2 linked regions of the Arabidopsis thaliana genome follow. The protein of the gene in region 1 interacts with the protein of each later gene in a pairwise test. Each region holds a gene or a part of one and is shown on either strand. Other genes may lie near its edges.

Region 1 (5,380 bases):
TTGCATTAGCTTCAGCCAAATCCTGCTTCACTAACACCGGACCAATCAATTTGTAGACGTTAGCATCTTCTTCCAGCAAATCTAACTCCTGTAGATACAAGACAGACACATAAAAAGATTAAAGCCAATCAACAATCGAAATAAACTTCTCTTTTCAGTTGAAGTAGCCACAAAACTCAGATTAAACAGTGAGACATGAACATATACCTTAAGCACGAGCTCATTCTCACCGAGTTGGATCGTATACTTCTTTCTCAGCTGATGATTCTTCCCGATATCTGAAAATATGAACACAGAAAAGTAGGGTTTCCCGCCTCCAGAAACAAGAAAAGAATCAAATCGAGAAAAGTTACGAGAATCTACGAAACTTGCCTTTCTGGATTTTGCCGAGATCATTAGCCTTGTTTTCTAGGTCTCTCTGCAAATCACGAACAGTCGATGAACTCATCTTCGTCGTCGTCGTCTGCTTCTTCCTCACTCCGGTGGTTTATTGAAAACTCGCAGATCCACCAAGGAGCAGTAACAAAACTCCGTTAAAGCCCCCGTGTTTTAGTAAGGCCCAAAACCGTATTAACTTGGACTTTTTAACGGCCCAATATGCTTTTCTTCTATTATCAAGCCTAGTTTTAGTTACATACAAAAGAAAAACACTATTTATCACTTGGTGACGTAATATCTTCTAGTTCACTGATCATATCAACACTGAACATAACTCTCATAAACACAAATTTTTACTTTTCGTCCCTTTATACCTCAATCTATAACGGGAAAAATGTCGTTTAATACGTGAACTTTAAAAAAATGGTCATTTAATACGTGAACTTTATATATGGTAAATTAATACATACAAAAATCGTTGACTGGCCATTTTACACAAACTTAATCGTTGATCAGGCCAAAATCTACACGACGTTATCTGACATTAACAGACCGATAACAGCCGTTAACTAATCTCTGTTAGTTTCCAATACGACGTCATTTCGATTATCGCAAAAACGGGAAAAATGCCATTTAATACTCCAACTTTCAAATTATGGTCATTTTATACATCAACTTCACATATGGCCATTTTATACATGAACTAAACGTTGACCAACAGTTTAAAAAATGAGAATGTGTTAACCAGGCCAAAGAGACATACCGCTATCTAGGCCTAGGTATTTGAATAAATCCAAACCGAATCCAAACAAAAATCTGAATATCTAGGTCTAGATAGCGGTATGTCTTTTTGGTCTAATCAACGCATTCTCATATTTTAAACTATTGGTCAACGTTTAGTTCATATATAAAATGGCCACATGTGAAGTTGATATATAAAATGACCACAATTTGAAAATTGGAGTATTAAATGGCATTTTCCGTTTTCGCGATACTCGAAACAACGTCGTATTAGAAACTAACGAAGATTAGTTAACGACTGTTATCGGTCTGTTAATGTCAGATAACGTCGTGTAGATTTTGGCTTGATCAACGATTAAGTTTATGTAAAATTGTCAGTCAACGATTTTTGTATGTATTAATTTGCCATATATAAAGTTCACGTATTAAATGGCCAATTTTGAAAGTTCACGTATTAAACAACATTTTTTCAAATCTATAATAGTGAAAAGCCGAAGATTTTACAAAGACATTTTTGTTGTTGTCAAACTAATAATTCACTCCACAGCCTAAAAGAAATAGAGTTGGATCAAAAGTAAAGTTGCCACTTTAGTCTCGCATCTAGCACAGATCCAATGAGAGGGAAAAAAAAAGAGAGAACCTAGGTCAATACTAAAACTTATTCCATCGTGGCTCTACTAATTAGAACAATTAAATACTATGTTACAGTAGAAACATTTCTTTTACTTTTTTTTTGTTATGCGTGCATGGAGTTTTGTCTGTAAAGAGCTTTAAATATAGTGGAAATTAAATGTTGAGAGTTAAAAAAAAAGAAGAAAAAAAAAGACAAGGAGTGAGGAATCTTGGATAAAAGGACACTAACCTTCCCTGTCTTTGCTCGCTGCCCGAAAAGAACATACAGAAAGACACTTTCACATTTCACACTTACAGAGAGAGAGAAGAGAGATAAAGAGAGCATTTAGATATCTTGAGGAAGACGAAGAAGAAGTAGAGGAGAGATATGGTTCCGAGCAACAATAGATGCAAATGGAGTTCCATTTTCTTGTTTCTGCTCAGTGTCTCCGTTGCCGTCTTAGTCGCCGTCGCTGACGACAAGTCTCCGGCGGTTGAGGATGGTACGCTTTTCACTTACCTTCATCAAATTTCTTTGTTCTTTTCTGGTCTCTGCGTGATTGGTTTTTCTCAAAAATGCCATTTAAATAAGAATCTTGTGTTATCAAGATTTGGTTTCTTGAATCCAACCCATCTCTGTTTCAAGAACAGAGGACCAAAATAATTTAGTTTCAGATGATTGATTTAGTTTTTATCTGGATTTTGAGTGTTTAGATTTTTGGGGGTTTTCCTCAATTTCACTTCACTGTTGCTAAGATTTTTAAGTTGAGTTTTCTTCTTTACTAAAGATTAGAAATCTGTTATGTTAATGTCTAGTTTAAGTAAGTAAACAGTGTTAATCGAACCAGTAATGCTAATCTAGTTAAGGTTATCTCATAGTCAGGGGAAAAACTGTCAACTGAATTTAATCCGTCACAATAGAAAAGAAAATGAAAGTTGTATGGGTCTATTTGTCAATTAAGTATAAAGTATCTTATTCGTGCTTTCAGCGGCGGCAAAATTAAAAAGGAAGCCCTTCTTAAATCTTCCTTAGCTTCAATTAACAAATAACAAACACACACCAACAAAACCCTGAGAACTCTTTTTTTTTTTTTTTATGTGGATATTAATTTAAAGATCTGATTTCATAAAGAAAGTTGTTTAGGTACTTTACTTTCTAAGAAATTATTTGATTAAAAAATTTACCAAAAAAAAAAACCACTTGAGTAGGATTCGCGCCAAATAGTAGGTGGTCTTTTGGTCGTAGTATTACAAAACGACAAAGAATACTTGATAAAACGACATCCAAGTGTCTGAATACTTCTCTAGTTTTTCAACACGCTTTCTTTTGTTTTTCCACCGAAAACACAACAATTGTCTCTTGCTTTCCCCTATTAGAAGGGGCATTTTTAACTTGTAAATTGGGAACTGTAGAGTGTAAACATAAAAATTAGTAAATAGTCAAAACGAGTCTTCACAATTGTGGTCCTACTAAGTCATAGCTAGAAGGTATGGGCCGTATGTCTGGCCCCATATTAGACGTTTCAAGCCTCGTGTCTCCTTATTATTTTTTTTCGTTCACGTTTTTACAATCTAGTAAATTAAAGTGTTATGTCGAATCAAACTATTTATTTGAGAAAGACAAAAACAATCTCTTTTCACACCGCTAGCTAGTTTCAAAACAATCTTGAAACGTGATCATTTGGCGTTTCCAATGATTTTGTCTAACCAAATAATCCAATGTACATTATTATTTTAAAATTGTCTGTAACCTTTATTTTTTGTTATGACAGGTTTAGTGATCAACGGCGACTTCGAAACATCACCGTCAAGTGGCTTTCCTGACGACGGAGTAACTGACGGACCATCCGATATCCCAAGCTGGAAATCCAACGGTACGGTGGAGCTAATAAATTCCGGTCAAAAACAAGGCGGAATGATCCTCATTGTCCCACAAGGCCGTCACGCCGTCCGATTAGGGAACGACGCAGAGATCAGCCAAGATCTAACGGTTGAGAAAGGTTTTGTCTATTCAGTCACGTTCAGCGCTGCTCGCACGTGCGCTCAACTCGAATCGATAAACGTGTCGGTAGCGTCTGTGAACGCAGACGCGGACGATATGCTGGCGTCGCGGAACGTTGATTTGCAAACGCTTTATAGCGTTCAAGGGTGGGACCCTTATGCGTGGGCGTTTGAAGCGGAAGATGATCATGTACGGTTGGTTTTTAAGAATCCGGGTATGGAAGATGATCCGACTTGTGGACCAATCATCGATGACATTGCTATTAAGAAGCTCTTTACTCCTGATAAACCCAAAGGTAACCATAAATTTCTCTATATTTCTATTTTCGACTCCAAAGTTCTAAAATGTGCCTATTTCACCCTGATTTTTTTGGTTACATTTTGTAGATAATGCGGTGATTAATGGAGATTTCGAAGATGGTCCATGGATGTTTAGGAACACGTCTCTTGGTGTTTTACTTCCGACAAACCTCGACGAAGAAATCTCGTCTCTTCCTGGTTGGACTGTTGAATCGAACAGAGCGGTTCGGTTTGTTGACTCGGATCACTTCTCTGTTCCAAAGGGCAAACGAGCCGTCGAGCTACTCTCAGGCAAAGAAGGAATTATTTCACAAATGGTTGAGACCAAAGCAGATAAGCCGTACATATTGTCTTTCTCACTAGGCCACGCAGGTGATAAATGCAAGGAACCATTGGCTATTATGGCATTCGCAGGTGATCAGGCGCAGAACTTTCATTACATGGCGCAAGCGAACTCCAGTTTCGAAAAGGCCGGTTTGAATTTCACGGCTAAGGCTGATCGAACCAGAGTTGCGTTCTACAGTGTTTATTACAATACGAGGACTGATGATATGAGCTCCTTGTGTGGACCTGTGATCGATGACGTTAGAGTGTGGTTCTCCGGGTCGAAGAGAATCGGAGCTGGGTTTGGGTTTTGGGTTTTTGTTCTTCTCGTTGTCGGTTTGGTTTAAGTAACTCAAAATTTAGATGTTCCGGTTTTATTCTAGTGTACCAGTAAAATGTTGTTGCAAACCAAGAAGAATTCTGTATGGTTTATTTATCCATCGGGTTAAAGCAAATTCGAAGGTGTTTATCGTTATGCAAAAGCTTGTCCCAACGAAAATCGAGAGTTTTTTTCTATAGTTTTATTATTTTGTTCGAATATATTTGGATAAATCTACCACAAACATAACATCTTAGAAAATGTATGTATACAGATAATTTTGGGTAAATCAACGTCAATTCGAATACACACGTACCGGAGATAAAAAATGTTTCGGTTTAGTTTGGTAAAGAATAAGTAGGTTTTTATAATTTTGCTCCACTGTTTATAAAAAGGTGTCGTCGCATTCAGAATTCTTAAATTTCTTCTCTTTGCTTCTTCTCTCTCCACCGCCGTCGTCGTCGTCTCCGATTTCCATAATGAACTTCTTAATTTTTTAATCCGGAATTATCTCCGGAAGTATCATGAGTAGATAGATGTTGAAGCTTATAGAATCTCTTTTTTTTTTGGTCCCTTATTCGCTTCCATGAACATTTCATATTTTGGATCTATGATTTAGAGTAATAGGATAAGAGTTAATCATATGTTTGTTTTGATTCTGGGAATAGTAGATGATGAAGATGATGACATATAGCAGGTACTTAA
Region 2 (6,270 bases), on another chromosome or scaffold:
ATTTAGGGGGATGTATTGGATTAGGGATTTTAGAAGATTTTTGTTTTTCTTAAAAACCATATCAAATCTAGTGTTATTCAAAAATTAAAAGGTTTTTGTTCCTCTACTCATCAACAAATTAAAATTCTTATAATTTTTTTTTTTTTGTTTGGCTTGAATCTGCATGACTCACTCAAATTAGAAGCCAATTACTATCATCAAATTAGAGATACATTTAACTATGAAGCGAATTACTATCACCAAATCATGAGCTATATGTGTTCCATAGTTACAGAGTCTATCACCAAAATACATAACGCCAACAAAACAAACTCCTAGTCTTGTACATCTATGAAGCCAATGACTCAAAACATACAACATAACCATCATGAAGCCAATTACTAAGAAAAAGCAACAAAAGAAAGAGATAGATACAGAGAAAAGAGAAAATACTTGAGCAAGTTGGGACTGAGTCAGCTTCTTGTCTTCTCGGGCTTGCATGATGGCTTTCTTCAACTTAGTGGGCACACGATCACCTGATTTTAAAACCATATAAAGGTGTTAACGATAACCAGCATTACGAATCAATCAAACACATATGTAGACTTCCTCTCGCTAATAATGCAAACTGAAGAAAATATTAATAACCCAAGAGAACAGACTAGATTACTAGAATGACTGTACCCAAGCAAAAGCTGGTTCTTATGGGATCCAAATCAACAACACTGATCCCCATGCAACAAACAATAAAACGAAACAGATCAATCAGATAACTTCTTCGTTTTCTAAAGAACCAAATCATCTACACAACTAAATCAATCAAAGCTTAGTCATCTTCCTATCTGACAATGCTCTGATTCGAGGGAACGAAGCAAGGGTTTGGTGGGAGATTGGATTTGGGACAAACACATATAGAATTGGGTCATCGATTTGGTGAAACGAACTCGGAATGGTGAGCAGCGTCGAGAGAGACGACCAATAGAGAGAGTGAGAAAATTTCCCGACGGAATGAAAAATAAAGACACAAGGATTTTTTGTTGGTTAAATATATCAACCAACCACTGACTGCCACGTAGGAGGCTCTCTCCAGAATTATTTGTTTTGATTATTTTTAATCAACAACTTCAAGAGAACCCTATCAAATTGTGATACTCATATCATGACACTGACAAATAAAAGAGACCATGAATATGGTTAGGCCATATGCGATATGGCTTCAAAAACCAAGTTGGGACAATCTTATGTTTAGTCTTAAGTTTGAGTTCATTTTAATTCATTTTAGATACTATTGTTTGATGTAAAATTAAACTTTGATAAATAAATGTACCTAAATTTGGATTGATTTTTTCATAATCATGTTTAAAATTTTTGGTGTTATGCAATTCTGTTTTGTTTTGTTTTTCCATAATAAGCATCTGAACATTTTTACAATATTTATATATTTTAAGAAACTGAAGTTTTAAGATGTATTAATCTACATTAACCTTTTCTATTTTAATGTTAACAAATATTATATATTATAAGTACAATATTCATCAAATACTATAACATATATGTGAAATGTAAATATTTACTACTAATCAAATATCATACTGCATATTTGATTGCAAAAGAGCTAAAAATCATTAATATTGCACATTAAAAATAGTCAATAAACTAAAATCATTAAATACACAAATATATCATAACACAGCAAGTGTGTACCATTATTAATCAATAGATTTACGCTATACAAGTTTTCCGAATTATGTATGTGAAATAAATCACACCAAAAAAATGTATTTGAAATGAAAAAATTCCCCGCCTCTGTAATTTAAGTTTTTTAGATTAAAACAGCTAAACTCTTTTCATTAATTTATTAGAGATACAAGATATTGTTATTTGTTACCAATACCAATATGTAAATTTTTCTGAGTAATTATTATAATTAGTTGAATTTGGCTACCATATGCCAATTTTCAACACATAAAATTCTTTTAAACGTGAAAATTCCAATAATCTAAGAGCCAACAACCACGAAAATTAAACCTCGTTTTAGTCTAAACTCTAAAATGAGAAATAATTAGAAACCAATAAAGGCTCTTAAAGAAAGACTAGGTCAAGTTCAAAGCAAGTTTTGCTTTGTGTGGTGGTCGTCGTCTCTTTCTTTAAACACACTTGTTTTTTTCTTTTTCCTTTGACCACTCCAATATAAACAACCAAGAACCAGTGTTCCTCGTCCATTCACTCTCTCGTAATCACACACACACTCACTCATACGAAGCCAATTGTTCCACACAAATTGGAAGCGACGACAATGGAGCCGAAAGAGAACGGCTCAGAATTGGGTCAGAAGATCATTGACGGACCAACGAATCCAATGGTCACACCTTTACTCAATGATCTTTATCAATTCACCATGGCTTATGCTTATTGGAAAGCTGGCAAACACAACGAACGATCCGTGTACAACACACAATCTCTTCTCATGCTCTGCTTTTGATGTTGAATTCTGAATGGTTTTGTATATTTGAAATTGTTTTTGTTTCCTTTTCAGTTTCGATCTGTATTTTCGTAAGAACCCATTTGGTGGTGAGTACACTGTGTTTGCTGGATTAGAAGAGTGTGTTAAGTTCTTAGCCAATTTCAAATTGACTGATGAAGAAATCGATTTCGTTCAAGAGTGTTTGCCTGGATCTGAGGTATATCAAAAATCTGTTTGTTTTTAGATTGTTATTGATTAAAGTTTGGATTTTTAAATCAGGGTTTTATGTTTGTGATTCAAATTAGGAAGCTTTTTGTGATTATCTTAGAGGGCTTGATTGTTCTGATGTTGAAGTTTATGCAATTCCGGAAGGATCAGTTGTTTTTCCTAAAGTACCTCTCATGAGAGTTGAAGGACCTGTTGGTGTGAGTCTCTTTGTCTCTTTCATTTGTGAAGATTGTTTAAGGAATAGTTTTCTTGAATGAATGATTCATCAGTTGTTGTAAAATCTCCATAGGTTGTTCAATTGTTGGAAACTCCATTCCTCAATCTTGTCAATTTTGCATCTTTGGTAGCTACTAACGCAGCTAGGCATCGCTTTGTTGCCGGAAAATCTAAGAGTCTACTCGAGTTTGGTGCTCGAAGGGCTCAGGTTTCCTATAAATCTCTCTCTTGTTTTTTGATATATTGCCTTTTGTGTTGTTCTTTCCATCTCTGTCTGATGTTATTAGTGTTGGAATCTTAGGGTCCGGATGGTGCAATAAGCGCATCAAAATATTGCTACCTTGGAGGTTTTGATGCAACAAGGCAAGTCTTGCTTTTTGTTTTTGTTGATCTGGAAGTAGGTGAAAGGGAATGTGGAAATGATGTGTTTTGTGTTGTTGGGTATTTTGCCAATGACAGTAATGTAGCAGCTGGAAAACTTTTTGGGATTCCTCTTCGTGGAACACACTCTCATGCTTATGTTAGCTCATTCATGGTCAGTTCACTTCAGCCAAAAGTTTCAATTTTTATGTGGAGGTTACATACTTGAGTTAGCTAGTAGAGACGATAACACAAAGTTTCGTGAAAATAAGATATTCTTGTCAATGCCTTTGTTGCTATAACTTTATTAGCCATGGTTCTGATGCACACTTAATATCCTCGCTCATAACAATATCACAAAAGCATTTTCGATATAATTAGTTAACTTTGGATTGCAGAGTACTGATGAGATTGTTGACAAAGTACTTCGTAGTGCTGATGGGAAAACCACGTGCGAGGATTTTGTTAGTCATGTTCAGACATGGTTAAAAAAGATTCAGGTTTGTTTATTGCACATTTTGCTCTTCCTCTTCCTGTTTTCTAGTCTCAGGACCATTGTTCTATTTCTGCTTCAACCCTTTGCTTGAATCTTTGTCACAGTTTTTCTTATGTTTTGTTTCTTTGTGGATGACAGTATTCACCATCTCTAAGTGGCATTTTCTCTGAGACAAATCAAAGCGAGCTAGCAGCTTTCACCTCATATGCACTGGCATTCCCCAAAACTTTTCTTGCCCTCGTAGATACATACGATGTGAGCATTAAACACCATAGTAGATAGCTCATTTGAGCCTTAGGATTTCTAATAAACTCTTATATTAGTGTTTTGCTGACTGTTTTACAGGTGATGAAGAGTGGAATCCCTAACTTCTGTGCAGTTGCTTTAGCACTCAATGACTTTGGGTGTGTAAGAATCTCTTATCAATACCCGATCGTCTGACTTGACTTTGTACTTCTTCAGGATCATATGGAATTTGAGATGCAATTGATGTTTATTGTGCTGCGCAGATATAAAGCATTAGGTATTAGACTGGATTCAGGTGATTTAGCTTATCTATCTAGAGAGGCCAGAAATTTCTTCTGCACGGTAGAGAGAGAACTAAAAGTGCCTGGTTTTGGGAAGATGGTCGTCACTGCTAGTAATGATCTAAATGAAGAGACGATTGACGCTTTAAATAAACAGGTGACTCCCTAACCCACTCTCAAATGCCATGCCCCCGAAAGATTGATTATTATTAAGCAGTGTTTTTTCTTTCATCTCTATAGGGACATGAGGTGGATGCTTTTGGCATCGGGACCTACTTGGTCACTTGCTATTCACAAGCGGCCTTAGGTTGCGTTTTCAAACTTGTGGAGATAAACAATCAGCCTCGGATTAAACTTTCTGAAGATGTTACAAAGGTTAAAACTCTCTCTCTCTCTCTTGGTGTTCTGAACATTCAATGTCACATTGCACTTAATCTGATTATCATTCTGATTCGTTTAGGTATCAATACCGTGTAAAAAGCGAAGTTACAGATTATACGGCAAAGAAGGTTACCCTCTGGTAGATATAATGACTGGAGAGAACGAACCACCTCCAAAGGTAAAACGAAAGATAACTCTCTCAAAGATTTTAATCTCATTACCTTATTGCATTTTTACATAATATCTTTCTTGATATCAAAGGTTGGTGAGCGTTTACTTTGTCGTCACCCATTCAACGAATCCAAAAGAGCATATGTAGTGCCACAACGTGTCGAAGAGCTCCTCAAATGTTATTGGCGTGGAAGTGCAGGTAAAGATTTTCCGGTACCGTAGAGTTATTAATGACAATGCTTTTCACTGATTATTGTTTCTCTATACCAATGAAGATGAAGCAAGAGAAGTATTACCGCCTTTGAAAGAGATAAGAGACCGTTGCATCAAACAGCTCGAAAACATGCGACCTGATCATATGAGGAGATTAAACCCAACTCCTTATAAGGTATGGTTTTATCCGACAAACATGTTTTTCAGTTTCTGAGAAATCTGTGTAAATGTTTTTTTCTCTCATGGTTTACAGGTTAGTGTAAGCGCAAAGCTGTACGATTTCATCCACTTCTTATGGCTAAACGAAGCACCTGTTGGTGAATTGCAGTGACAGAACAACCAAAAAGAAGAATCTGGTTTTGGTTTGGTGTAATGTATATAATTTATATACCACAGCATCACAAATATGCATTTTTTTCACTTTTAGTTTCTTTTTCTTACAACATTTTGATGATCTCTCATTGTCGTAGTAAGTTTCATTTTCTTACTGAGGAAAGAAACTCTCTGCGTTCACTGGAACTTTGTTTTCAACTGATTCAATAAGATTTTATATTTACAGCTGTAAACATACTGGAGACTGTAAAAACATTTACTCAAGTCAACGATTTTGGATCAGGTTTAGTTTCGTCATATGGTTGACAACTTACTGTTGCAAACGGATTGGTAAGCAGTTGAGTTAATTGAGTTTTTTCTAGCAGAGATTTGAAGAACATTACCTTTCTTCAAAAACTTCTTTAGGCGTTACTAGGACGTTTGGGGTGGACCTAGTCACTAACCACATATTCAAAATTCATTTCCAAAAAGATGAATTATGGAATATGAGAATAGAAAAATACAACAGAGTAAATGAGGAGTAAAACTTTATTACAGAAACTTACCAAACAGTAAAAAAAAATATGGAATATAAGGAAACCATTACTTAACGAAAAATCACTTAACAAGAATACAAGATGACTAAAAATGACAAGACGATAATCCATCCAAATTGAGGTTAAAAACAAGTGATAGTTTTGGTCTTATACAACAGAGTTATACAAGTGTAACTTTGAATTCTTATGGTCTCCAAATAGCCATGGCTTCGAGGGCAGGGCACTCGATATGGGCGTGGGTTTTCTTGGATGAAAGTTAAATTTGTTGATATAAAAGAAACACATAGTATACACAAAACTGGTCGGGACCAATACTCTTTTTTTTTTTGGCTCCGTTCATATTTTCAAAACAACAATTCTTTAGTG

What was found.
Region 2: the proteins of AT1G29980 (region 1) and NAPRT2 interact in a two-hybrid assay, tested with the Arabidopsis thaliana proteins (one large-scale study listed by BioGRID).

Annotation. Positions count from the first base shown.
Region 1 is NC_003070.9:10,502,734-10,508,113, reverse strand, and holds AT1G29980 (choice-of-anchor C domain protein, putative (Protein of unknown function, DUF642)), read left to right. Parts: upstream 1-1,924; 5' UTR 1,925-2,119; coding exon 2,120-2,234; intron 2,235-2,947; exon of another isoform or gene 2,948-3,496; coding exon of another isoform or gene 3,497-3,503; coding exon 3,504-4,028; intron 4,029-4,119; coding exon 4,120-4,703; 3' UTR 4,704-4,875; downstream 4,876-5,380. Other genes in the region: PFD6 (prefoldin 6), read right to left, coding at 1-88, 208-278, 373-448.
Region 2 is NC_003071.7:9,969,544-9,975,813, forward strand, and holds NAPRT2 (nicotinate phosphoribosyltransferase 2), read left to right. Parts: upstream 1-2,059; 5' UTR 2,060-2,275; coding exon 2,276-2,424; intron 2,425-2,515; coding exon 2,516-2,660; intron 2,661-2,748; coding exon 2,749-2,868; intron 2,869-2,960; coding exon 2,961-3,095; intron 3,096-3,188; coding exon 3,189-3,250; intron 3,251-3,346; coding exon 3,347-3,422; intron 3,423-3,645; coding exon 3,646-3,747; intron 3,748-3,881; coding exon 3,882-3,998; intron 3,999-4,088; coding exon 4,089-4,147; intron 4,148-4,252; coding exon 4,253-4,427; intron 4,428-4,510; coding exon 4,511-4,645; intron 4,646-4,730; coding exon 4,731-4,829; intron 4,830-4,912; coding exon 4,913-5,021; intron 5,022-5,097; coding exon 5,098-5,210; coding exon of another isoform or gene 5,211-5,249; exon of another isoform or gene 5,250-5,288; coding exon 5,289-5,366; 3' UTR 5,367-5,664; downstream 5,665-6,270. UniProt on the Arabidopsis thaliana protein: Catalyzes the first step in the biosynthesis of NAD from nicotinic acid, the ATP-dependent synthesis of beta-nicotinate D-ribonucleotide from nicotinate and 5-phospho-D-ribose 1-phosphate.